Rhinolophus ferrumequinum: one gene and its partners. The protein of the gene in region 1 interacts with the protein of each later gene in a biochemical or structural test. Links are inferred from orthologs where the notes say so. Each region holds a gene or a part of one and is shown on either strand. Other genes may lie near its edges.

Evidence for each region.
Region 2: the proteins of MSN (region 1) and ICAM3 form a complex in vitro, tested with the Homo sapiens proteins (2 studies listed by BioGRID). The link is inferred for Rhinolophus ferrumequinum from reciprocal best matches to the Homo sapiens genes MSN and ICAM3.
Region 3: the proteins of MSN (region 1) and SPN form a complex in vitro, tested with the Homo sapiens proteins (2 studies listed by BioGRID). The link is inferred for Rhinolophus ferrumequinum from reciprocal best matches to the Homo sapiens genes MSN and SPN.

What each region holds. Positions count from the first base shown.
Region 1 is NC_046284.1:79,399,494-79,403,240, reverse strand, and holds the start of MSN (moesin), read right to left. Parts: upstream 2,423-3,747; 5' UTR 2,190-2,422; coding exon 2,178-2,189; intron 1-2,177. UniProt on the Homo sapiens protein: Ezrin-radixin-moesin (ERM) family protein that connects the actin cytoskeleton to the plasma membrane and thereby regulates the structure and function of specific domains of the cell cortex.
Region 2 is NC_046301.1:39,903,757-39,907,503, reverse strand, and holds the start of ICAM3 (intercellular adhesion molecule 3), read right to left. Parts: upstream 2,623-3,747; 5' UTR 2,473-2,622; coding exon 2,262-2,472; intron 1,712-2,261; coding exon 1,445-1,711; intron 1-1,444. UniProt on the Homo sapiens protein: ICAM proteins are ligands for the leukocyte adhesion protein LFA-1 (integrin alpha-L/beta-2). ICAM3 is also a ligand for integrin alpha-D/beta-2. In association with integrin alpha-L/beta-2, contributes to apoptotic neutrophil phagocytosis by macrophages.
Region 3 is NW_022680357.1:784,463-788,209, reverse strand, and holds the start of SPN (leukosialin), read right to left. Parts: upstream 2,344-3,747; 5' UTR 2,203-2,343; intron 1,815-2,202; 5' UTR 1,799-1,814; coding exon 509-1,798; 3' UTR 1-508. UniProt on the Homo sapiens protein: Predominant cell surface sialoprotein of leukocytes which regulates multiple T-cell functions, including T-cell activation, proliferation, differentiation, trafficking and migration.

The DNA of each region.
Region 1 (3,747 bases):
GCACCTTGTGATACTCCCAACTCTCACCAAGAGACCACACAAATGCCAACATTGGTTACTTTGCCCAAATTATCCACTCCCTTTTATCTGAGGACCAGGAAGTCTTGAGAACAGGGGACAACTTGCTTTGGGCAGAAAAGGGGACTCCACCTCAAGAACCTAATCATTGAGTCAGAATACAGGGTCAATGTGATGAGCATCAAAAAGCCTAAACCCCAATCTTGATTGTCACCATGTGATCTTAGGTAGGTCCTCCCTATAGGCCTAACTACCTTCATTAGTTGAAAGAGAGCGAGGTATTAGATCAATAGTCTCTGAGGTCCCTTTCAAGTTAAGATTTTATGGTCTTAACAGGCATGATATAGTTGTTTCTCCTAGAAGTTTATCATTCCTTGAGCCAAACAGCATGGGAAATTCTCCAAATCTTCCAGTCTATCAAAATTCAGCCCTCTCCTTCCAACTTGATTCAAGTTTCTGTCAATCTGCATAAAAATGCCTTCAGTATTCAGGTACATTCAGTACCCTAGGCTTAGCATCAAACAGCCCATACTCCAGTCTCTCTCCATACCCAGGATAAAGATCACCATGCTACCATCTTTGCCATTTTTGACTTAGATGGAATGGTTAAGGCCCCTTTGAGACAATTTCCAGACCCATCAAGTTGTGTTTAAATGTGAGAGAACTCAGAATTGAAAATGAGAGATTCCACTAGAGAAGAGAAGTCATGGGCAGTCTATTCCCAGAGATCCACCCACCTATTTAGGCCCTTCTATACCTTAAGAGGAGTGAAAGAGTCAACCACAGGGATAAACCCAAGGAGAGGCTCCTGGGGGTGGGAGGGTAAGTGTGGAAAAGCCCCATGGCGTAAAACCAACAATTTAAAAGAGAGATAGAAGCACATACTTGTGGAAAACTTAGTGCTTCTGAAGGACAAGGTTCGAAAAGGCAAGAATGACTTGGCAATAAGGCTGGAATACAGCAACCTGGCAACCAAAGCTCAGCACACACCCAAAGAACTGGATCCTGACTCCTCTCATCCAGAGACCCCCAGCCCTTCTCAAGGCTACTAGTCACTATCTCAGCTCTACAAGGCTCAGGCAGTCCTAGAGAGGGTTCTGGGAGAACTGCAAAGCCTAGTCCAGTCCAACAAGCTGCTTGGCCTAAGGGACTCAAACCAAGGTGGTCACCAGGCCTTCCTGGGCAAGGGAAGGGCCCCAGCAGCCATTTGGCATGACTTGCACAAAAGCAAGCAGGCTCATTATTCAGGCACACTCCTCCCCCACCCCACCCTCCTGGGCATCCGGCCCCCCTAGGCCCCACTCCCAGGAGGCTTCTGCTCTTCTCATAACAGCCAGTGGGTTAGAGACCAGATCCTAGAAGCTACCACCACTCTAGAAAGGTGTGGCCCAACAGGAAAGAATCCACACCTCACAGAACAGTCCGGAGGGGATAGGAGGAGATAGAGAGTCATTAAGTAATGGGAAGAGCAGGGATTTGGCGAGTGGAGAGGACGAAGAACCCAGTCCTCTCCCCTAGGTGGTTGGGCAGACCTCCCTTCAGATTGGTGCCTAGTGAAGTGTTAGTGCACTTGGGTAAAAGCAAGCAGCCTCAATGAGTCCTTCCACAACTCTCTCCTACCCCCCCCCCACCAGTGGGAAACAGCTGGAGGCGCCTGGGGAGGCTGTGGGGAAGGTGAGTGGGGGTGCGGGATCCGCCCTTAGGATCTCCCTCCTTCCACCTTGATTCTTGGTTCCCATGGCCCCTCCTGGACAGTGACAGCCTTGCTTCAGAACGGCGCCAATTTCAGGTCTGGGGGACTTGTTCTCCTTCGGACCAGAGTCTTCTCCCCCACTCCCATGGCCTGTCAGGGACAAGAGAACTTGGGCCCCCAAGGAAGCCTTCTCAAAGGTCGCATCCCAGATGTAGGGAACTGGAATGTGAGAACCATAACAGCCCCGCCCAGTCCACACTTCTTGCTCGGGACCACCTCAAGCCTTCCACCCCCCGAGGGCGCGCCATACCAGGACTCCACTCCTGCCCCTCCCGACCACAGGCCCTGGCGTAGGGCGCGGCGTCCCGAGACGGCGGGTAGCTGGCCAAGTCCCCAGCCATCATCAAGGGGCTACAAGGGTCAGCTAGAGACCCTGGGGCCGGCAGCGCCCACCCCGGACACTCACCGTCTTGGGCATGGTGGCGGCAAAGGCGGCGGAGTTGGCGAAGTTTGGCTCGGAGCTGTGAGGCAGCGCTGAGCACACGGTACACACCGCTCGGACTCCGGGGGCTGGGGGCTCGGATTGGGTCCCTCACTAGAGTCGGGGCGACTGCTGGGCTTCCTGCTAACGGGCCACGACTTCACAAACCCCACCCAGGAAAGAGCCGCCCCCGTCGCGCCGCCAGCTCCTTTATGTGGCCGGGCTTCCGCGCCGCTCCCCGCCCTCGCGCCCGCCTCCTTGCTGTCCGCTTGCCTCGCTCCGCCCAGTCCAGCCCTGCCCAGGCCGGCCACACAAACCACGTGGGTGCTGGACTGGGCCTGGGCGCCCCAAGTGGGACTCCCCGCCCCAATCCATACCCACCCTGCTCCTCTCCCACCCACTTCACACCCCCTAGACCTCTGCATCTGGGCAATCCGGGCCCTGCGGCCCCACCCCCAAACAGGGCCGGACCCTAGGCCGCACCCTGGGCTGCACCCTGGCAAAGACTTAAGCAGCCCCTGACTGCAGCTTTCCACTGATGGGGAGCTCGCTACCGATCAAAACTGCCCGTTCCCTATCAAGATACCTCTGACTCTTAGAATGTTCTTCCTGTGTGTATCTGAACTCCTTTTCTCTGTGGCTTCCACCTGTGGATCTTACATCTGATCCCTGGGGCCACTCAAATCCCCTGCTGTCCCTCATAACTCCCCAGAGGTTTGAAGATCTCCTGTCCCCCTGAAAATTTTCTTCTCTTGGCTAAACCGCCTCAATTCCTCCAACACTTCATCAGTTCTCTTCTGTAGGCCTCTATATCCCTTTCCCCATTGTTATTTCCTCCCTACCCTTGCTTAATCCTCATTTTCATCAGAACTGGGCTCCTTTTCCCCATATCTGTCCTCTACTACTTTCCTTTCTTTAAATCCCAATCTCCACCTTCTTCAAATCAATGTCTTGATCCTTTAGCCCTCCCCCCAACACATTCACTGATTTATGGCATTCACTTTCTGATAAGGTTATAATCCCCCCAGGTTAGAGGTACTCCCAGTCCACTCCCTTGGGATGTGTCTGCCAGCACCCTTTCTACTTCTTGTCAAGGTCACAAAATCCCAGGACAGCAGTGTTCTAGACCGTAGCAGTTACCTGCTTAAGTCTGAGTTTTAGTTTGAAAGTGGCTGGCCATAGTCATTTTTTCTCCTGTCAACTGGCAACTGTTCTGAATATTCTTTGTGAGGTAGAGCACCACATACATCAGGGATGATAAGCCAACTTGGGGCAGTGGAAAGGATATTTGAGGAGTGGTCAGGACACCTGGCTTCTACTCCTAGCTTTGCTATTAACTCATTCTGTGACCACTGTGTGGCCTTGGGTAAGTCCCTTCCCCTCTTTGGGCTTGAGTTTCCCCTTCTATAACAAGAAAGGGTCAGACTCCTGGGTTTCCAAGGTCCTTTCCCACTCTGACATTATAAAAGGATGAGAAAGGAAGTAGACTCCCTAGCACAATAGATGAGTCTAGCAGGGTTGCATAAAGAGTGGCCTTGCATTTACATTCAGGAAT
Region 2 (3,747 bases), on another chromosome or scaffold:
AACTGCAGCTGCAGTGCCCCTTGCAGGCACACTCTCACCCTCAAGCCTGGATCTCAAGCTGTCACATAGAGGCTCATGGACTGGCTGTTCTGAAAAATATTTAACATCTTATTCTTTACAATTTTAGAATATTTAACAAGGAGGTCTCCATCTTAACCTCGGGCACCATTGGTTAGGGATAGTGGTATGCTGGTAATGCTTGGGCTCTCAGAGCTCGGGGAGCCCCAATAGCGAGCATTTGCCAATTTCTGTGGTGTAAATATTCCCGCTAAGGCTGATGTCAAGCTACCCAATGTGAGACAAGGGAAGAGATGAGCAGTCAGATCTCATGAGCCAGGACCAACAGGCTCCTACATAGTATTTAACAGAAGTACCTCACAGACACACAGAGTGAGGGACACACAAATACACACATTACACGGAAATACACATATGAAGACGTATACATAGACACATACTGACACAGACATCCGCATACAGTCACACACAGACACATGCTCACACACAGATCTGCACACGGGCACGGATACTGACAGTTACTCACGGAGATAAAGACGGGTACACACAGACATACGTGTACACTGGCACAGACACATAATGACATATATACTCACGGACCCACATGTAGATACACAGGTGCATATGGACACTAGTGTCCACACAGGAGCTTACACAGTTACACACATACACTAATCTGTAAAGACTTCACAAAATGGTAGGCCCTATGAGTGATATTCTCAGCTATTTTCTAGTCTGTTGTAGTTTAAATGCAGAGAAACTCTTGGAAGGATGCACAAGAAACCAGTACCAGGGGGATGCACGGTCTGGGGAGGAAGATGTCACCTGTTAAGAACAGGGACTTGGGAGCCGCACTGCCGGCCTATCTGCTCACGGGCTGTGAACCGTGGCAAGTGACTGCACCCCACTGAGCCTCAGTCTCCTTAGCTGTGAAATGAGGCTCATAAGTGCACCCCCCACACACCCCACTCCACCCCCTGCCCTGGGGCTTTTTTAAGGCTTGAATGAGCACCTCAGTGGGTGTGAACACTTGAAACTGGCCATTGGCAGCAGCACTAGGTAAATGGAGACTTGACATTTATACCTTTTTATACTTTCTGATTTGGGAACCCCCTTAATTTATTACCTGCCATAAAATATAAGTAATAAATAAAAGGCATGAGCTATCAGTTTTTAAATGTTTGCTGGGATCTAAATAAATAGATTTCACATTGCTGCCTGGCATGTGGTTGAGATGTATCTTTGTCTCTGCCGTGTGTGTGTGTGTGTGTGTGTGTGTGTGTGTCACACACACACACACATGCAAGTCCAGGTCCAAGCTCTGGGTCAGAGAGAGGCCTGGTCCATTCCTGCAAACTCAGGGCCATTGCCCATCTACCCCCACCATTGCTTGAGACCAGGCCCACCTCCAGACACATCCACTCACGGTACACTGTGATATCAGAGGAGCTTGTCATCTGGGAGCCATTGCAGAAGCTAGCGCAGAGGACCTTGCTGTCAGCAGTCACATTGCTGAGCTGGAAGGCCACCCAGTTTGGGCCACGGCTCACTAGCTCCTTCAATAGGGACGTCTCCAGGGTGATGAGTTCAGGGTCGGGGCAATCAGTACTGCAGTTTACCAAGAGGGATCCTCTGGCAGGTATAACTGGGTCCTGGGGCTCCACCCGCAGCAGGTACTCCTGCCCCTGGATACCTACGGGAACAAGGGGAAGCTCTGCTGGTTGACCTGGTGCCCCCAGCCCAGCCATCTTCAGGCCCCACCATCCATCACCTCCTTGGAACAATGGTCTCTGCCTTCATAGTGCTTCCAGTTCAGTGGGGAAGGCAGGTGATAGATCAAGTGTAGGGGAGAGCTTGGAGGGAGATCCATAGGAGCCTAGAGGAGGAAGTGAGTCAAGGAAACTTCCTGAAAGAGACGACTATGGCCACTTTTGAGGGTAGGTAAGTAGGAATCAGCCAAGTGAAAGGGAAAAGTGATCCTGACAGAGGGAAGAGAATAGGCAAAGGTCAAGGGAACAGATGGAACAGAGAGAGTTGGGGTGGAGGGACAAACCACATGCAGGGATGAGGCCTCAGGGAGCCCTGAAAGCTGAGTGAAGGAGCCATAAACTTTGTCTCCAGGACACTGGTGAACCCCGTCAGATACAGGTTGAAGTGAACCACAGCAACAGGATGTGAGAGCTTTGTTTTCTTCACCCTCTACCAGTCCCCCAATACACCCCTTCCTACCCCGGTCACCTTACCTGGGGGCAGCAGACAGCAACCCAGAAGCAGGGAGATGAGCAGAGTGCAGCAGGCCCCGTGCAGTGGCCCCAAGGGCACCATGGTGGCCAACCTGTGGAGGAAGGTGCTGTAATGTAGCAGTGGGCAGGGCAGTGGGGAGCAGGCGGGGCCACCCAGGAATACGGAAACACAGCCACAGCAGTTAAGATTGTATAAATCCAGGGGTTGCATCTTGCCCAAGCCTGGGGAGGGGCAGGGAGGATCCTCTGTAACCCCGAAGGTCCAGCGTGGGGGGCCCAAGTGGGGCCCTGCGAGATGAGACGGGAGGGCACTGGCGAATATCTGACAAGGCGGACCTCATTTGCCCGCTCTAAACCTACAGGAAATACTAACACAGTCATCTTCCTTTGTTCTCAGTACTAGGAAGTCTAGGTGGAGGGGGGTGAAATACCTCCTTTCTGCTGACCTTAGAGGAAGTTAATGGGGGGGACCTCCAGACACCGTCCTTGAAGTGATAAAGAGTGATTTCAAGGCAACATTTCAAGGGGATGATGCAGGGACTTCTAGGCAGGGCCTCGAGAGATTAGTGTGAGATCTCAACATTCTTGGAGGGCATAAAGAGGGACCCCTGGGCCAGCCCGGTGGCTCAGGCGGTTGGAGTTCCATGCTCCTAACTCTGAAGGCTGCCGGTTTGATTCCCACATGGGCCAGTGGGCTCTCAACCACAAGGCTGCCAGTTCAACTCCTTGAGTCCCCCAAGGGATGGTGGGCTCCGCCCCCTGCAACTAAGATTGAACACAGCACCTTGAGCTGAGCTGCTGCTGAGCTCCCGGATGGCTCAGTTGGTTGGAGCGTGTCCTCTCAACCACAAGGTTGCCGGTGTGATTCCTTGAGTCCCGCACGGGATGGTGGGGCGCGCCCCCTGCAACTAGCAAGGGCAACTGGACCTGGATGTGAGCTGCACCCTCCACAACTAAGACTGAAAGGACAACTTGACTTGGAAAAAAGTCCTGGATGTACAACTGTTCCCCAATAAAGTCCTGTTCCCCTTCCTCAATAAAATCTTAAAAAAAAAAAAAGAGGGACCCCCTAAGATGAATGAAGCCATGAAAATGAACAGAGCCCACATTTATTGGGCACTTGTGCGAGGCTCTGTATTGGCTTCCAGAATGGCTCCTGTAGGGCCCTTTACCACTGAAGATTTTGGTGGGAATCTCCACGGAGATCCCCCCATTCCCTGTGCACGATGCTGAGGTGGGGTGTTTGGGACACAGATCAATCCTGAGCCACCGTGTGTCAAGGATGCACTTGTAACTATCCCTTATCCCTGTCCCCCTTGCCCTCACCTCTAGGCAGCTGGTCTCTTCATCTCTAGGAAAGGGACTGGGAACAGCAGTAGTGGGGGTGAGGGTGGGGGTGGAGGGGGTGGTGATGGTGGTGTCAGGTGGCCACTCCCACCTCCATCTGCTGCATCTCTTGGGCCTCCAACCTGCCTCCTTTTCCACT
Region 3 (3,747 bases), on another chromosome or scaffold:
GACTGGGTCTTATGTTACTTTTTGCTCCAAAAGACGCACTAGAGCTGATTGTCCGGCTAGGTCTTATTTTCGGGGAAACATGGTAGGATTGTCCTAACCTATGGGGTCAAATGTGCTTTTCAGAGTAATCCTAAGTGGGAGTTTGCTGGCTGGTCCTTTCCTTCTTCTTCCCAGATTCTGCTGTTCCTGGGGGAATCCTCTGAGAAATTGTAAGTCAAGGAAGGATGGCATTATGGAGACCAAACATCCGGTTTCAAGGATAAAAACATCGGCCAAAATGTGATGGAGAGAAGTTGGGTTGATGAGGCTGTTCCCGTGGGTGCAGGCCCTGGCTTCGGGGCTGGGGGCCCGTGTTGGGTGTGGGGGCTGCTGGGGGTTCCCAGGTTAAGAGGGGGGATGAGGATTCCGAGTGAGGATGCTGAGAGATGATGAGCTTGGAGTGAAGATTAGAAGGATGGTGATGAAAGCGAGAAATGATTCTGACCGCCAGGCTTGGTGTTCACGGGCTCTAAACGACTTCCGCGTCTCCCGCTTCTGGCCCATCAGAAATGGGGGACTCCAGAACCTCATCCTCACTGCCCACCAGAGGCTCTTCTTCCCCCTTTATGCTGGAGGCTGACCCAGCTTTGAGCTCTTCCAGGGCCAAGGAGCCCTGGCGAGACTTCCTTCGACCAAAGAAAGTGGTGAGCGTGGGCCGCCGGCCAGAACCCTCGCCGGGGACGCCAGAGCCCTTGTCACCACCGGACACTCCCACTGTTGTTATCACAGCCTCCTCATCAGACACCGGGGCGGGCCCCACCCAGGCATCTACCACCCCGTTGCGCTTTGCACCTCTGCTTAGCGTCAGTGCCCCGGTCCTCCGCTTCTGCCGCTGGCGCCAGAGCAGGAGTAATGCCAGGAGGACAATCACCACCAGCATGGCCACAAGCACAGCCATCAGCAGGGTGTTTTTTGTCCCCTTATATGAACCTAGGGGCTCTGAGGTAGGTATGGTGGATATTTCTACCGTGGAGATGGGGGAGATGGGGGAGCCACTGGTCCCCTTGGGGGTCTTCGGAGAGCTAGTTGTCATGGTGACAGGGAGTCCACTGGTCCCTTTGGAGATCTCTACTGTTCTAGTTACCATGGTGATAGGTGGTTCACTGGTCCCATCAGAAGTCTCCAGAGAGCTACTTGTCATGATGACAGAGGGTCCAATGGTCCCTCTGGAGGACTCCAGAGGTCCAGCTATCGTAGTCACAATGGATCCAGTTCCATTGGATGTCTCCAGAGAGCCAGTTGCCATGGCGACAGTGGATCCAGTGGTTCCACTGGATGCCTCTGGAGATGCAGTTGCCATGGCGACAGTGGATTCATTGGTCCCATTGGATGCCTCCAGAGATCTAGTTGCGTTGGTTCCACCAGTCATATTGAAGCCTCCCGAAGCAGACACTGCTAGGACAGCAGGGTTACTGGTTTTAGTAGAGATGTCCTGGACCATTGATTTGTTGGTGAGAGGTTCCGGGGAGATTGCTGGCTCAGATAAGGAGGGGCCATAGCTGTTAGCAGTAGAAGTCTCAAGAAAGGACGTGTCACTGGTTGCATGGCGAGGTGTGATGACCTGATGCGTGATCTGGTTATTTTCCCCAAGGACGCTTGTTACTGTATGGTGGGAGGTCATTGAGTTAGGAGTTAGGGTCTGATGCGTAGCTGAGACCCCAGGAAGAGTGGGCTGTGTGGATGGAGTCATGTCCAGATCTTCGGCCCAGACACTCCCAAAGAGGAGAAGAAGCAGAGTCATTTTCATGACCACAGGCATGAGCAGGAGGCAGGATCTGAGGTGTGGAAGTTGGAGAAATGGGACATATAAGGAGCCTGGAGGGGGAGGGGGAGAACCTGACCAGGCCCTTCCCTCCTGCCCACTTCCCTGCCAACTGCCAGACCTAACCTGCGGTTTAACAGCTTTTTCCACCCTTGCTTTTATATTATCAGAAATAGCAAGGGAACCGATGCTGGCAGCTCTCCCGTCAGCTCTATCCCATAGACCCCTGTGGCCTTGGCAGCTGGCACTCCAGCAGCACCTCCCTTCCTGGTCTCCCCTGATCCCATTCAGCCCCAGTGGCTCCTGATCCTCTTTTCCCATCATCTTTCAGAGTCTTTTCAAGCCTTAGGCACATTCCCGGGTCTGCTGAGACCCCTGCCCCCCAAGTCACACCCCCTTACCAGCTCACTTGATAAGGGCACAGGGCTGGGGCCAGGCCGCTCTAACTCCTCCTGAGGCTGGGGCAGGACTGGGCAAACGGGCCCCAAGGGGAAAGGAAGTGGCCCTGGCTCCACCCTTCCCCCCCCACCCCAGCATCCTGCCCGCCCCGCCCTGTTCCTACAGCTGCTATGATGAGAGCGCCATCACTTACTCTTTCCGGGGTCTGGGATGGTACCAGGGGCTATGGGGTCTCAGCTGAGGCAGTTGGGCGTGGGGGAGCAGGGAGTCTGGAATGGGGATTCCTGAGTCTTAGCTGGGACATGGGATGGCAAGAGGTGAAGCTGGGATCGGGAAGGGGATCAAAGCCTAGGTGATGGGAACATGCTCTTGAGATCTAGGGGGTACAGGGGAGGAAATGGGAGGGGAGGGTGGTTTCCTTTGTATTTGTAGACCCCAAGCTGTTAGGCCAGGACCCAGGGTGGCACGATTTCTTGTCCCAAGAGCTCCCAGGAAGTACTAGTGCAAGAGGAAGCCCCGAATTGTGCTGGGGGCAATGAAAGCCTTTGCAAGCTGCAAGAGATCCCTGATAAGGTCTTGAGGATTTATGAAGAAGCGGAGAGGTCACCACAGTGGTCCCCAGTTGTGGGGTGCTTAACGAAATCAATGTGGTTGCTAAGCAGTTCACACTATATCTTATTTTTGCAGAAGACTAACAAAGATGTGGGACTCTGTATGGACAGCAGTCTGGCAAGGTACCCCCTGAGGGATTAACCAAGTTTCTCAGGGCAGCTATGAGGAGAGGTTCTTTATTGTCTTCTTTGTTTTCGGACTTTCCTCTAATTTGTAAGCTTTGAGTTTTAGTGTGTGTATGGTTTTGGTTTTTTGCCTCTCTTTTCAAATAATCCAAACTGATTAAAAGTAATTAAAAGTAATCATAAATGTTCATGGTAGGTGATGGAAACGACTGAGATCGTATCCCACACACAAGCTGACAAGCGAATCTGACACAAAGACATGAGACTCCTGGGTCAGAGACTCCGGAATCCGTTAGTCACCGCACAACCAGCAGCAGGGGTGTTATGTCTGCATCAGCTCCCCTGGCCCTCAAGTCCCACAGGGTGTCACACACAGGCGTGCCCCACAAACTGAAGAACACTGAGCTCGGGGAATTTTCCTCTTTCCGAGCAGCTGGTCCACAAGCCTGCTTTGTCCTAAAGGGAGACCCCAGTGTGTCACCCTCAGTGACACACTGCAAACACAGCCCTGAGAAATGGCCTGGGTACACACTGGGCAGGACTTTGCGTGCTTGGCATAGCAGCAGCAGTATGCAGGGATGGCACCTCCAACAGTCGGGAGGGTGTAAAATGAAAAAGCTCCACACCGCTACCGGCGCACGCACATCTGTAATTCGTCTGTGTTTACACATGCATGTATTTCACTGTACTGCGTAGATTTTATGATGTATACTCTTCTGCACTGTTCGTTTTTTTAACTAAACTAACAAAGGAAGGAGAGAGGGAGAGAGGGAGGGAGAAAAAGGAGAGAGAGAGAGAGAGAGAAAGGAA